2 linked regions of the Caenorhabditis elegans genome follow. The protein of the gene in region 2 purifies or fractionates together with the protein of the main gene of each other region. This does not show direct contact. Each region holds a gene or a part of one and is shown on either strand. Other genes may lie near its edges.

Evidence for each region. The genes of interacting proteins can lie anywhere in the genome.
Region 1: the proteins of fbxc-14 (region 2) and ttr-27 fractionate together in Caenorhabditis elegans (co-fractionation; one large-scale study listed by BioGRID). This does not show direct contact.

What each region holds. Positions count from the first base shown.
Region 1 is NC_003283.11:12,900,866-12,907,824, forward strand, and holds ttr-27 (Transthyretin-like family protein), read right to left. Parts: upstream 3,234-6,959; 5' UTR 3,219-3,233; coding exon 3,053-3,218; intron 3,006-3,052; coding exon 2,740-3,005; 3' UTR 2,685-2,739; downstream 1-2,684. Other genes in the region: ttr-28 (Transthyretin-like family protein), read right to left, coding at 3,445-3,582, 3,643-3,770, 4,120-4,303; ttr-29 (Transthyretin-like family protein), read right to left, coding at 5,318-5,455, 5,505-5,632, 5,680-5,866.
Region 2 is NC_003280.10:970,863-978,637, reverse strand, and holds fbxc-14 (F-box domain-containing protein), read right to left. Parts: upstream 4,340-7,775; 5' UTR 4,336-4,339; coding exon 4,265-4,335; intron 4,067-4,264; coding exon 3,323-4,066; intron 3,266-3,322; coding exon 3,127-3,265; 3' UTR 3,093-3,126; downstream 1-3,092. Other genes in the region: fbxc-17 (F-box C protein), read left to right, coding at 1,776-2,210, 2,266-2,380; C32B5.15 (F-box domain-containing protein), read left to right, coding at 5,688-6,031, 7,208-7,775.

The sequences.
Region 1 (6,959 bases), on a different chromosome or scaffold from region 2:
GTTTTCTCTGATAAAATAATTGTTTGCCTAAAAATTGAGTTCTGTCATATTTTTAAATTTTCGGAAACTCTGAATATTTTTGAAATATTATATTTTTCGTATAACTTTGCAATAACCTAAAGTTCTCATAACAATCGATTTTCAAGTAAAGTGCTAATTTTTCTTTCAATACAACTTGCGGCTGGCGAGAAGTCGAGAAAAGCATCATTTTCAGCTATTCAGGTTTTCCAACCAACTTTTCTTTTCAGAACAAAGAAAATTTCGTAGAAAAAGGTATTTGTAGGAAGTGAGAAGAGAGAATGTGTGAAGAAAGAAAATAACAAGCTATCTGTCTCTCAATATCACCAGCAAAAACACAACACCAAATAGTGTGAAGGGAAGTTGAGTGAATGTGGAATAATGGAATAAAAGTATGAACAGAAGCATATTGGTGAATGAAGAAACACACCGATACGATTCTTGTCAGAAAATCTGGTTTTGAAAATAAAAGGATAGTGAAAGGAAGAAAAGAAGAAGTAGGTTTTTGAACACACGGGGGTGACAGAGTAGGAGGAGATAAAGTGAGAGAGGAGAAGCCCTTTCACATACACTTTCTCTCAATCAAGCGACCCATTGAAACCGACTGTCCGGAAATTGTGTTAAGCATTCGGAGAGATTGAACAAGAAAGAATAGACGACGTCGATTGCAGAGCTCTTTGAAAAAATGAATATGTAATCTGGATAGATTGGGTAGGAGAGTGCACAATTAACTCAATTGACAGGTGAGTTATCTTAATTAATCCGATCATCGGTGATTGAGATGGTTAATTTGAGTTAGTTACGCAATAAGGATTACGTTTGAAAAACGATTTGGTGCTCGCCGGCTTATCTTTTAGCGAGATTATTATTTTCTGCAAAATACAAGTGATTCTCTTAGAGTCTTCATTACAGAAATGTATGTCCTTCTTGAGAAGTCTAGAAATTGTGGTACAACGCTTTTGTAAATTTTCCTGGCTTGCTCCATAGTAAAAAATATTTTTTGACAAATTTTGTAGAAAACTAATTTATAACTCAAACTAAAAGTGTTTTTTTTAAATAATAGTTGAGGTACGTTGAAAATAGTACGGAAAAATTATATGTTGAAACTGCAACTGTATGGACAAGCCATGCATAGCAATTAAAGTCGAAATATTTTGGAAAGGGAGATATACGATCGCAAAATATTAAAAAATTCCTCAAATGCTCTGAAAAAATAAAGTTCCAAAGGAGTGTTTTTAAACATCTCAAAGAGTCAAACTTTTCAGTTAGAAGAAATTATGAATCTTGCAAAATAGGCATATTACTAAAATATTTACAAGAATTTTATCACCTCTTGGTGAAAGTTCAAAAATATTAGTTTTTCCAATTTGAAAAAGTTCCCTCTATATGCAGAATCCAGCAAAAACGTTAAGCTTATAAACGTTACCAGTGAAATTGATTCCAAGAACAATTATGACTAAATTCAATAGATAAATTAATATAAATAAGTATTAAGGTATTTTGAAAACAACTGAACACGACCTCTAGTCTGCGGTTTCGAGCAAAGTATCAAATTAAGAAACCTTTGTGAAAAGTAGATGCAAACGATAATATTAGTAGGAAACTATAGAAAAAGAAGAAGAAGCCGAAAGTGTCATTCAAGTAGAAACAAAATAAACATAGAATTTAGACCACCAGAACACATCGAAAAGAGAGCAACTCAAAACTTTCGAATGGCTTGTTTTATTTTCGAAAGAAGAAAAAGAAGAAGTTGCAGAATAAGAAGTAGAATCTCCATGAAAACATTCATCATCTACGACTATACGAGGGCAAGCTTGACCCAACAATACAAGGGACAATGAACCCCCGAGAGTTCTCGGCCTAAAACAAATTCCGTTTTTTTTTTCTGCAAGAGCTGGTAGTTCCTATGCCGACCAACAAATCTGCGTCTCTTTAGAAACGGCGGCCATCGGCGATTAACACAAAAATGAGCGCGAAACGGGTGAGAGTGGAATTTGCATAGGAAAGTGTCTGCCCATTATAAGATATCCGGAACAAGTTTGAGGGGAAGAAATTCGAATGCAATCAAGTTTCCACGACCTCTTCCGAAAACGAACGAATTATTATATTGCCATTCGGTTTTGTATGGAAATAAATGACAGATGACTGGAAATAAATGGACAGGTGGCAGTAGTTGTAGTAGTAGTACTAAACGGATGAAAATTGGAAGAGGAAAAAATGAAGAAGGAGAAGGAAAGAAGGCGAAGGACGCTTTCGACAACTGAACCCCATGGGAAAATAATGCGTTTTAGGATTTTTGACACAATTTTGCCTTTTTACTAGCTTCACTCATGGAACATTTAGAATCTGTAAGCAAACATGCCAAACTTGTTATTCAAAACACAAAATAAATTATAAAAGAGGCATGAAAAATTCAGTTGGTAATTCCAGAAATGGTGTGGTGGTAGCTGATAAAAGAAGGCATTCATTTTCAGAACATTCATAATTGTGTTAGAAATAAAACTTTTAAAAACGTGATGTTTTTCAAGACGGAAAAAATTTTTCGACACGAAGTTTTTAATCGTTTTCATGCACAAGTTTCACTTCGAATAATGTCAATACTCCACGGCTTCGGAGCAGGTGTGTGGCAATAAAGAATGTACTTCAATCAGTAATTTTTGAATCAATACAATTTCAAAATTTTATTCAACTATTTACAATACATCACTTGAGTGCCTAGTTTTAATTAATACAATCCGTTGTTTGTCCAGTGTATTGATTGGCCAAATTCAATGTTCCAATATCATAAGTTTTGCTTGGAGTCTTTCCAGATGAAACATAATTATCTGGAATAGTGATTCCAATCTTTTTGTAGCAGAGACCATTGTAATTGCATTTGTGATAAATGTTCAATTTTGGATCAATAGTTGAAATTTCAGTTTTTGATCCAGATAGTCGGAATTGTCCATTGGCATCTGAAGTTGCTTCTTCCAAAAGTACATCAAAGGCTGGAAAAAATTTTAATCAGAAACTAAGTTTCAGATTCATAACTTACTTGATTCTTTTTCATAAAGCTTCAGTTTAACTCCAGATGCTGGTTGTCCATTACAGATAACTCTTCCAGATACAGCAACTGACTGTGTTCGGCCAACACCCAATAGAGCATAACTTGTAGAAACAAGAGCAAATAGCAAAAATAAAGTAGTCGGGGAAGAGCACATTTTTAAATTTGAACTGAAATTTTGTCGTCTCAACAGTTATTTATATGGTAGAAACGGTAGGTGTTTGCTGAAGAAAGGAATGAAAAAAGAAAGAGACATTGCTATTTACACAATTACTATTGGCACACAGTACGAAAAACCATTTATTTTCAAATGTTAAATACTCAAATACAATTAAAGTTTTCGGTGGTTTGTCGCTGAACTATATCGGTTCCTTATTTACTTCTTAGTTTAAACAGTCTGTAGATTGGCCTGGGAAGTTGTTGGCCAAGTTCAATGTGCCAATGTCAAAAGTTCGTGATGGTTGACTACCGGAAGTGACGTAGTCCTTTGGAATGTGAATTGTGAATTTTTGATCACATAGCTAAAAACAAAATTACCAAAATATAAAACAGTGATTCTGAAATGTCAATAAATAATTTACCCCGTTGTAATTGCATTTGTGATAAACATTTAGCTTTGGGTCAATAGTTGTGATTTCTCTTTTCGATCCTAACACTCGAAATTGACCGTTCGAATCAGTACGCCCCTCCTCCATCAATCGATCGAAAACTTGAAAAAAAATTTTAAATCAAGCAATCAAAATATAATTGTTATGCCATAGTGGTAGTGGATAGTAGTTTGAAGCAAGATAATCTATGATATTGACCGATTTTCTGATAAAAATGGAGATTCATCAGTCGGTTGTGTTAGAGCATTAAAAACGTATCCTTCATAGAATTTCAAGAACTGTTTTTTTAATTTTTATTGAGAAAGTTGCCCTTGCTATTAGAGTCACTTGTGATTTTGAGAGATTATTTCTAAGACTCCAAACAACTGGATTTTTTTTTCGAATTACAATATAAAAAACATTTGTATGTATAGAAAAAAAATTGTAGAAAATGATTGAAAAGCGACTTACATATTTCGTTTTCATACAATTTAAGCTTCACATCAACCGCAGGTCTCCCGTTACAAATCAATCTTCCTGATACAGCAGCTGATTGCATACTTCCAATTCCTAATACATCCTTTGTAGCAATTGGATCGTTTTGTCCAAGAACGAAAACGCATAACAGAGAAAAAACTAACATATTTATGAACATTTTTCAATCCAAACTACGCTTTTCTCTCATATGTCAGGACTATTTAAACTTTTTTGTTTCACATTTTTGAAATGGCAAACATTGTTGCCCATACATGTGTTAAGTGATTTTTGTTTGAGAGAAGATTTTTCTGTGTTTAGAGACACTTCTCGAGCTCTCGTACTTTTGGTCTTTTGGTGGTTTTTGTTGATGAGTGAGCAACACATGGTAATAACAAAATGGTAGCTAAGTCAACATAAATTTCACAAATCTCATGTTGAGTCATAAAACACTTACAGACATTTCTTGAACAATTTTCAAAGATAATTCACCTTCGCACTGTGTTTTCTGCTTTGTGAGCACGCAGGTTTACACGCAGGTTAAAAAATCGATTTTTTTTATTCACAGACTTCAAAAAAGTGTATTACTAGTCAGAGGAAACACGAAGTATTATAAGAACTTTATCATACAAATTTTGCCAACCGATAGTTGCAGGTTGACAAAAAATTCAGCTTGCAGAAACCGGCAACTTGTGAACCAGTGGTGATGTCAACATCAAATACATATATTATTTGTTTTGAAAAAAGCATTCGAACATCATGGAAATTGCAAACAACTCACTGTAAATAAAAAAGTGAATAAATTTTCCTTAAAATACTCTGAAACACAGGTACTAGAAAATTAATGTTAGGCAATTGGCAAAAGAACGACAAAGTCCGGAAAAGTTACCGAAATATTTAGACAACCGACAGTTTCGTGTGAATGAAACTTTTCAGCACCTTCGGCGATAATGGCCAGTTGCTTAAACTTTTGGTTGCCGCATAGCCCAGCTATGGTAACTTTGAGTAGCCCAAAAAATTGAGCCACAATCAATATTACAATTTTTTGAATTATCTTACAGAATAACTGTTGTCTGACAAGAAACGCAGCGGCTGAAAAAGTCAATAATACTTACTATTAAATTCAATTATTCTACAAGACCTGCTCATGAATAGTTTATTTGAAAATATGTGTAATTAAAAGTAACCAAATCAATCAATTAATACAATCGGTAGATTCTCCTGGATATTTGTTTGCCAAGTTTAGTGTTCCTATATCGTATGTTCGTTCTGCTTGACTACCACGGTTGATATAATCCTTTGGAATTTTTATAGTGAATTTTTTGGAGCACAACTGAAAATTCACATTTAATTTAAAAAATTGACAAACACACAAATCTAACCCCATTATAATTGCATTTGTGATAAACGTTGACTTTTGGGTCAATCCTTGAAATTTCTCGTTTTGAGCCAGAAACTCTGAATTGTCCATTTGAATCTGTACGGCTTTCTTCCATGAGTCGATCAAACACTCAAATGTAATATTTTTTCGGAAGGCAATTTCATAGTAGAACTTACGAATCTCATTTTCATACAGTTTGATCTTAATATTTGTAGCTGGTCGTCCATTACAGATTAGTCTTCCAGAAACAGCTACAGCCTGCATTCTTCCGATGCCGAGAAAGTTTTTGGTAACAATTTCATTGTCTTCTTGGCAAAAGACCAATGTCAAGGCGACAAGAAGGGAAGCTAACCTTATGACCATGACGTGTTAAACTATGATTTTCACATGTTCATTTTGACTTAAATACGGTTTTGTCTTTGCTTTCACATGTGCAGTTAAGTCAATATTGGGCGGAGGTTACCTACAAAGTTAATACGATTTTTCTTTGTTTGTTTGAAAAGAAAATTGTTGTTGTTCATCACAGTTTCTCACTTTTTGGTCTCTATTTGATATGAGGGATGAACAATAATAATCCACATTACACAGAATAGATAAACGAATTTGAAAATAAAATCGAAAAGCAGAACTCCAATTTCAAAAAATGGAGTGTTTGAATGGATTTGCACAAAAATCGACTTGGCGACAATTTCTTCGGCCAAAAACCTCTGGAACGAATCAAATCTGCTCGCTGTAGTATGACGGGAACGCTAAATTTTGAGATTTGCGTTTTGGGCAACATAATTGACGCGCGAAATATCTCGTAGTGAAAACTACAGAAACTCTTTACTAGGTTACTGTAGCGCTTATGTCTAATTACGGACATCGTTTATTTATCGATAAAATATCGAAAGAAAGCATAAAGTATACGAAAAAACTAAAGAAAATTAAATATCGTTGCCACAATTCGAGCAGAAAATTGTTTCGAAAATCGAGCCCGTAAATCGACACCAGCGCTACAGTAGTTCTTCATAAAATTACTGTGGTTTTCGCTACGAGATATTTTGCGCGTCAAATATACTGCGCAAAACGCTTTTCTCGTAATTGTGTGTTCCAGTAATGGAATAATTCTTCCAGCTACTGTTTTAAAATCTTTCTGTCATTAAGATTTCAACTTCCTACAATTAAAAACAACTATTCAAAGTTATTGCTGATTGTGAGAGCATTTGACGTTCCCCCATCTAAATCAATCATCAGAGCAATCTCGACCGCTTCTCGTGTCACTTACCCAAAGAAAAGCCGCGCGAGAAGAAATGTGACCTTTCGATTATTACACAGTAATCGTCGTAGCTCTCTTCCGTCGTTCCACATCTCGTACAAAAAATAAACTTTGAGGAAAGAAAAAAAGAATTATGAATTCTTCCTTTCACTTCAAAATGGATGTACTTCAGGACTTTTTTGATGAATTGTTGATAGC
Region 2 (7,775 bases):
TAGCTGGGTGCAATACTATGAGAGGAGGTACGGAATATGTAAGTAACTGTAAAAAATTCATAGAATTTTCCCATGATTTTTTCTGCCAAGCAGCCTCTAATAAATGCCGAGTGTGGCGACTCCGCCCCTTTTTCGCGTTTTTTCGCGTTTTTTTTGGCTTGCGAAAAAATGTCACACTTCGTTTTCATTCACAACTCCTGAACCGTGTGACTTCATGCTCTAATATTTGAAATCCTACTAGAAATATTTTGCCCCACGGTGGAGCAAAAAACGGCACTAAGTTCGGAGCAAAATTGAGCCCAGGACGGCTTTCCCCTGTTTGAAAAAATTTTTTGTTGCTCTTTTTACCCCCAAAAAAGCATGTTTTAATTGAATTAAAATTCGGGTTTTGCTCTGTTTTGTTTCAAACTCATGTGCAAAATACTACTCAGAGAGACTGATTTTTTGAAAAAAAGTTTGAGTTCATAAGTGCAAATGGAAAAAAGTTGTGATAAAACAAAAGGCCAAAAAATGACATTTTGCCAAAAAATTTTTTTTTTCCGAAAAAGTAGTTTTTCGTCATTATCTCAAGTTCTACTTCATCTTTTTTGATATTTTTTTTGTTTACTCTACGTACAAAAGTACGCTGAACACGATTTTTAACTCAGAATTGAAAAAAGTTCTATGAGTCGGCCGAGCAAGACGAATAAGTGCCAAATTTTGCACACTTTTCCATTTTCGTGAATCTACTTTTTCAATCATAACTCGGTCAGTTTTCAATTTTCTTAGTTTTCCAAAAATTGACGTGTAGGTCTCATCAAGACGCATCGAGACATATAAAATTTGTAAAAAGTTCAGTGGGAAAATTTTTCAAGAAAAAAATTATTCAAAAATTTAGTACTGGGGGGAGTGGTTTCCTGGGTCTCCTGAACATTTTTTCCACTAAACTTTTGCGGCATGTATTTTTGATTCATAGTTTTTGATTTTATTTAATGAAAGATGAAGTTTCGTCGCATTAGAAATACTCTGCCAAGAGATATTATTTTTATTAATTTTCAGGCCAAAACTTGTTTTTTTCTATACATCTGTCTGTGTACAAGATATAGCCCTCAACTGTACGTCTCCTTTTTGGGAAATCAATAATGAGTACAATCCTGTAATAAAATTTTCAAAAATTCGTTTTCCCGCTGACATATCAGTAATAAACGGTTTTCGAACGCCTTTTCTCAAAATGTAATTATTGAAGAAAGCGGAATCGAAAGACGACTCCCTCCAGAAATTCACCTTCCTTACTTCCAGTTTAAGCTCTCTCCCGCATGGCCGAGTGGTTAGTGCTTATGTCTGTGGAAATTTTGGTAGTGGGTTCAATTCTACCAACTGACAAACATTTTTGTTTTTTTTGAGTATTCGGGATTCGAATATTATATAGTAATACTCGATTTTATACAAAATATGGGTACGTCTCCCCCCATATAAATCCTCCTCAAACTTCAATCAATCAAAACTCAGCTTTAACTGATTCATCGGGTGCGACTGTTTTTGGTCAAACCGAACTCGAAAATCAAGAAGACATTGACCCACTGAAAATTTCACGAACCCTCTAACAGGTTCGAGGCGAAGCCGAGAACCTACGCCCGGCAGGGGGACTCGCCTTACACCCCCTACAACTGGCGGGCCCGCAGGGCCTGCTAGTCAATTAAAAAAATAGAAAAAAAGGTCAACCAGGTCATAGGCATACTTATTAATTATTATTATTATTAATAGCTTTCTGTTCTATTAAACAATTTAAATTTTAGATTCCAACTCTGCACTAGATGCCCTTCCATTCAGAACCTGGAAAAGTCGGTACCCCTGCACATCAGGTACCTGAAACTTACTGACCATCGTATAATAATAAACGGGTCTACCTATTTATTATCTGTTTTTGACCAAGAATTTGACGTCGAACAATATGATATTCAAGATGCCAGAGAAATGGAGCAAGATCCAAATGAAGTAAGGCTTGACGTGCGAGTTGCTCCAACTAGACTCAGATTCAATGTGAATAACGATCCTGTCAGACGTGAAGGGGAACTTGTAATATGGCTCCTAGATTTGTGGTACCCAAAAGTCTTAAGGCGCTGGATGAGACGTGAAAGAGAGCCCGGAACTCAGTACACGTTTCAGACTGAACAGGAAGAGATAGATCAGGCTATGGTGAATATTAGGAGAGCTTATTGGAGCAGGGTTCAGTGAGTTTTTTTTTTGAAACTTTTTGTTTAAATTTTAAAGTTAATTCTCACTTAGACAAGCAGGAAACAATCGGATCACATTAAACTTGAACGGGACCTCCAAAGTGGTAATCAAGAAGTTTCAAAATGGAAATTCGTGGATTTTGAAAATGAAAGTGGAAAGCCGATGAATAAACTGATATTTTTAATTCTTTTTTTTTGAGTAATGAATATACATATGAAATATACTGGTCTAGATACGAAATTTAGTCAATTTTAGACTAAAAATTCGAATTCCACTGGAAATTTTACCCCGGGAACTTGATCTTTGATTTTTTAAGAGGGGCTTTTGGCTCAACTGGGAAGAGCTAAGAGGAAAAATTGTATGGAGCAATAGGCCAGGGGTTCGATCCCTAACGAGGCATCACATTTTTATTATTTTTTATTATGTTCAAGGGTGATTTTGATGAAATTTTGGTTTCAGCCTAGGAAAATGTTAAGCATTTCAATGTTAGGATCAACTGGTAAGAGGCTAGAATGACCAAGAGAACCCCAATGTAATTCTTTCGACCCGTTGACAATTAGAGCAGATTTGCAGCAGCACAGTGGTGGTCAGCTGGACGTGGTCAAATAACTTGATCAGGTGTCCCTGAACCAGATCTCTAGCTTCAGAATTATCCTGACCTGGCATGCAGAAGCTTTTGATCGAGTATCTTCTGAAAGTGGCTCGACCCTTGCAAAATCTTCTTTTTTGGGATGGAGAGGTTTTAGAAAAGTTGTAAAAAGTACGAATCTTTCTAAACGAAAACTATATCAGACCTGCCAGATGTCTGCCGCTGTGATATTTTTCCAAAAACACAGAAATCCGATAGTTCTCAAGTCACAAGACAAAACAGTTTCATAGGAATTCTTTCATTTTTTCAACGATTAGTTGTTCTCAAAAAAAAGTAGGGAAAAGTCTTCGCCGCTCAATTTTGAAACCCAAAATCCATGCATCTCCCTGCTGTATCTTGCTGATAACCAATTTCGAGGTGCTGTTCTTCTTGATGGTGAGCTGATTGGAACGTCGAGAAGATCTGAAAGTATTCAACTTTAGATTTTTTTTGAAAATATTCAACCTTAGATTAACTTACCCATCTTCCAACATCGCTTTATACCTCTTCCTACTCCTCTCCATAACTACAAATACAGCTCCCCTAGTTGTGTCAAATGTATAATAAGTTCCATTTTCTATATCACTATCACCCATAAAGTATTCTATAACAATTGAAAAGCAGAAGTGTCCCCTTTCGAAATGTGCAGTTGTAACTCTCCGATTTTGCAGGAACGTCAGTACCCGCCTGAGGTTGTGTGGAGCTGTGGTTGGAGCTTTGAAGTGCCATTTTTTAGTTTTTCGGTTTACTATTGATGTAATTGGATTGTTATTAGTCTTCAGAAGGCTTTTAAATGGGAGTTTTATCAAGCTTAATGGTAGACAAGAGTTTGCAATTAGTGAACTAGCAGCCGACAAGCTCCGGGAATCAAAAACCTCCAAAACATTGACATTGATCCTGGCAGCTAACGGAACCCGTAGAGGATTTTCACAAGAAATTGCAAGTTGGCCCACTTTCACAGTTCTTCCTTTAAAGAGTTTGTCGAGAAGGTACTTCATAGTTTTGGTCAGATTATTTCTACTATTCCTTAGTTCGACTGTACCACTGATACTTGGGAATTGATTGATATCAAATTGATAATCAACTTTTCTATCGGTAACTGTAATTTGACAGGTTACCCGGTTAACTGTCACGCTGTTATCTGTTATCTTGAGATAGTGGATGTAGGAAGGGGTTGATTTTTCTAAGGTATGAATTGAAGGGCAGACGAGGCAGAGTTGGATTCTGAAATATACTTATAGTTAGGTAGGTTTAGCTATGTATTAAAAAATTGTGTGGCACTTGAGCAAAAAGCTTGAAACATAATGTGAGCTGTGATTTGGATGAATTTCCTCTATACCCAAAAATTTCAACTCCGAAAACTCCGTCATTCTCAAAACTCAACCCTCTAAATACGTAACTTTTCCAAGCCAAAATACTCACCTCAAACTTGGATCCAAATGCTTCAATATGAACTTCAATACTTGGTAGCTTACTGGTTTTGAATTTAACATAGTGTGCAGGTGTAACGACGAGAATGGCACAGCAAGACCCCACTGAGATTATATCGATTTTATATTGGCTGGAAATTAGGGCGCATTTGCAGCTGGGGTCATTTCGCTGAGCAAAAGGGTGGTACGGTTATTTAGGACAGATGGTGTTTTGTCTAAAAAAACAGGTAGGCAAGATCTAGTCAGAGTTTATAGGGCCTGGGGCCCTATAAACTCTCGGCAGTTATTAAGCTTTCAATTCTAAATTTCACTCTGTTGAACAGTAGACTCGTAAAAAAAAAGTGCTCAGAAAATCTAGTCCATCAGACCGCTCTAATTTTTGCAAATTAGATTTCATAAGAAGAATCTATACATGTTGCTAGTTAAAGGTGGAGTAGCGCCAGTGGGGAAATTGCTTTAAAACATGCCTATGGTACCACAATGATCAAATTCCTATTTGAATTACCGCCAATAGTTCGATGTTCGATGGAGCGCGCTTGCATTATTTTAACTTTTATTTATTAATTTTTCTTATTTTTAATTGATTTTTCATGTTTTTTTTTGAGTAATTTTACTGGAGATTTATCGAAAAATTCAAGATAAATGTAGATTGTTCACTAAAAATAATTGAAAACAGAGATATCACGTTTTTCAACGACGTTGAGCCTGAAATAATCTATTTCAAAGATTTAGATTCGAAATTTTAAATTTAAAATAATGCAAGCGCGCTCCATCGAACATCGAACTATTGGCGGTAATTCAAATAGGAATTTGATGCAATTCGAGATTTTTTCAATTTTCAAAAAATCATATAAAATTTAGAAATTTTTTTTTTAATTTTTACTATGATATTTGGTCATTGTGGTACCATAGGCATGTTTTAAAGCAATTCCCCCACTGGCGCTACTCCACCTTTAACCGTTTTCAGCGAAAAATTGGTCCTGCAAGTTGACGCCTCCCGCAATTCCATAGACCAGCGGGAGACTGCATCGGTGGGAAGACGCAATACGTCACATGGTTGACCCCTCGGTTGGCCAGCACACAGCTCCATATTTTTGAAGTTTTTAGGTACCACCAAATGTTGTATGAATGTTATATTCATGGTGCTTTATCGTTTTTTTCCCCGAAAATGTTGAAGTTCAAATCAAGATGAATAAAACATCGAGGCTTTAATCGGTTTTGCTCTGTACTCAATGGCTTTATTTTCAATCGCTGTTTTTTATGAGCCTGGCACTTATACAATTCTATTGATAATTAATCCTGCACTATCGCTATCACTATGCACAATTTTTTTTTTCAAAAAAAAACAATTACTTTTGTATTGAATTTTCTCTTTTCTCTATAAGTTGCTGCTTACCATTTCCTCTTATTACATAATGTATATAGTTTTTTTTTTCAGAATGCCCTTCAACCTCTTCACCTTTCCACTTGTGATCCGTAGGCAAATTCCTCAGGAAATGAGCTTCATCGACGTGCTTAACTTTTCATTTTGCTCTTCCAAAACTGAAACGTTGGCCAGAAAATCAATAAAAAAAGGATACTCGTCGATGATCCATTCGTGTTCGAATTTATCCGTTGAACGTTCTTACGTCATGCAAATGAAGGACATTAATAATTTAAGTGAACACTTATCGTTTTTAATTAGAGAAGCGTCAAGAGAAGACATTATTCAGCAAGAAAAGTGGTTTAAATTGAAAATTGGACAAACAATGGTTTACTGGTCAGTTCCTTACGTTTTGAAAATATACTAGCCTGATTATCAGCGTTTTTGAGTTCTCTTAAGCGCAGCCGAGCTCAATCAAAATTTTCAAAAACTGTACTTTGAAAAGTTCTGACCGAAAGACTGTAAGTATAGGGTATCCAATATGTCCATATTACACATGTAATACAAAAGTCTTACTGTAAATACAATGCTGGCCAAAAAGATATGCACAAACGGTTTTTCGTTTTTTTTTTTGGCTTTGTTTGAATGGCCATAATTGAAAAACTAAACGTTGTTTTCGAAAACTGTCAACTAACAAAATGCTGGTCATTATGTTGTTCAAATTGTCTGATAAGTATTATTTTACAAAAATTGCCTTGTAAAACAGTACAGCGACAGACATCTGGCTAGTCGATTTTTGACTGAAATCGTCTGTAGCTCAAGAAAAAATCGCTTCCATCTTTAGTAAAAATTATTTCATTAATACAATTATTTTCATGGAAGCAATTTTTATCGAGTTACAGACAATTTCAGATTCAAGGTTAAAAACCGACCCGCCATATGTTTGCCGCTGTAATGTTTTGCAAGGCAGTTTTTGTAAAATAATATTGGTCAGGAAATGTCAACAACATAATGGCCAACATTGTGTTAGTTGCCGGTTTTCGAAAATAATGATTGCTTTTGATTATTCATTTGTTTTTTTGAAGAATCAATAATTTATCATAGTTATGTAGGTCGTTTCACGCCTGAAAACAATACTCTGAAAAGTCCTATCATTTTTATGAAATATGATCCACAACAGTTTGGAATATATAGGCTTAGTTGTATATCATTCACTTCCCGGCGGGTTGAGGACAAAGTTATTATATGCATAGGGCATAAATGTTTATGAAGATCATGTTATTAATTCAATTATTCTCATGGAAGCGATTTTTTCTTGAGTTACAGACGATTTCAGATTCGAGGTCAAAAATCGACCAGCCAGATGTCTGTCGCTGTACCGTTTTTCAGGGCAGTTTTTGTAAAATAATATCGGTCAGGCAATGTCAACAACATAATGACCAACGTTTTGTTAGTTGACCGTTTTCGAAAATAATGATTAGCTTTTAAGTTATGGTTAATTTAACACAGTCCAAAATTCACGAAGCCCCGTTTGTGGCCAGCACAGTAAATAATTTTAATTTTGCATTTCAGCGCAACTCCGTGCCATGAAGCCAGCAGTATAATCAAATTTTATTTCAATGGATCAACCTTAAAAGTAGTTCACGAAATGCTTCGAAACACGATTTTGAACCTCCACCAAACACATCTCAAATCAAATATAATATTTTTTTGGAAGCAAGGAATGAGTCAACAAAAGATTCACCATTTCTCAAATATTCGAAATGTCAACCACATTATTCTAAGTGAAATGGTTAAGCTAGATACAATCCCAATCACCTTTCTAGATCAAATCTTTTCGACATGGCCGAACTTAGGCAGTTTGTCGTTGTATCCACAGATAGATGGTGAACTTAAAGATGAATGTGGTTTGTTCTCAATCAAGAGATTGTTTCTTGGTAGTTCATGTTTAATGGCTGACAGTGTAATCCCTCGATTCAAGGGGCGTCATTTAAGCGCCAAAAATGCATTTATTTCGTCTGAACAAGTTATGCACTGGTTGCACCAATGGACAACGGACATAAATTTTCAAAACATCCAAACAATGACCTTTTCTTTAGCTCCCGGCTACCAATTGAACGTGGAAAACATTTATCAAGAA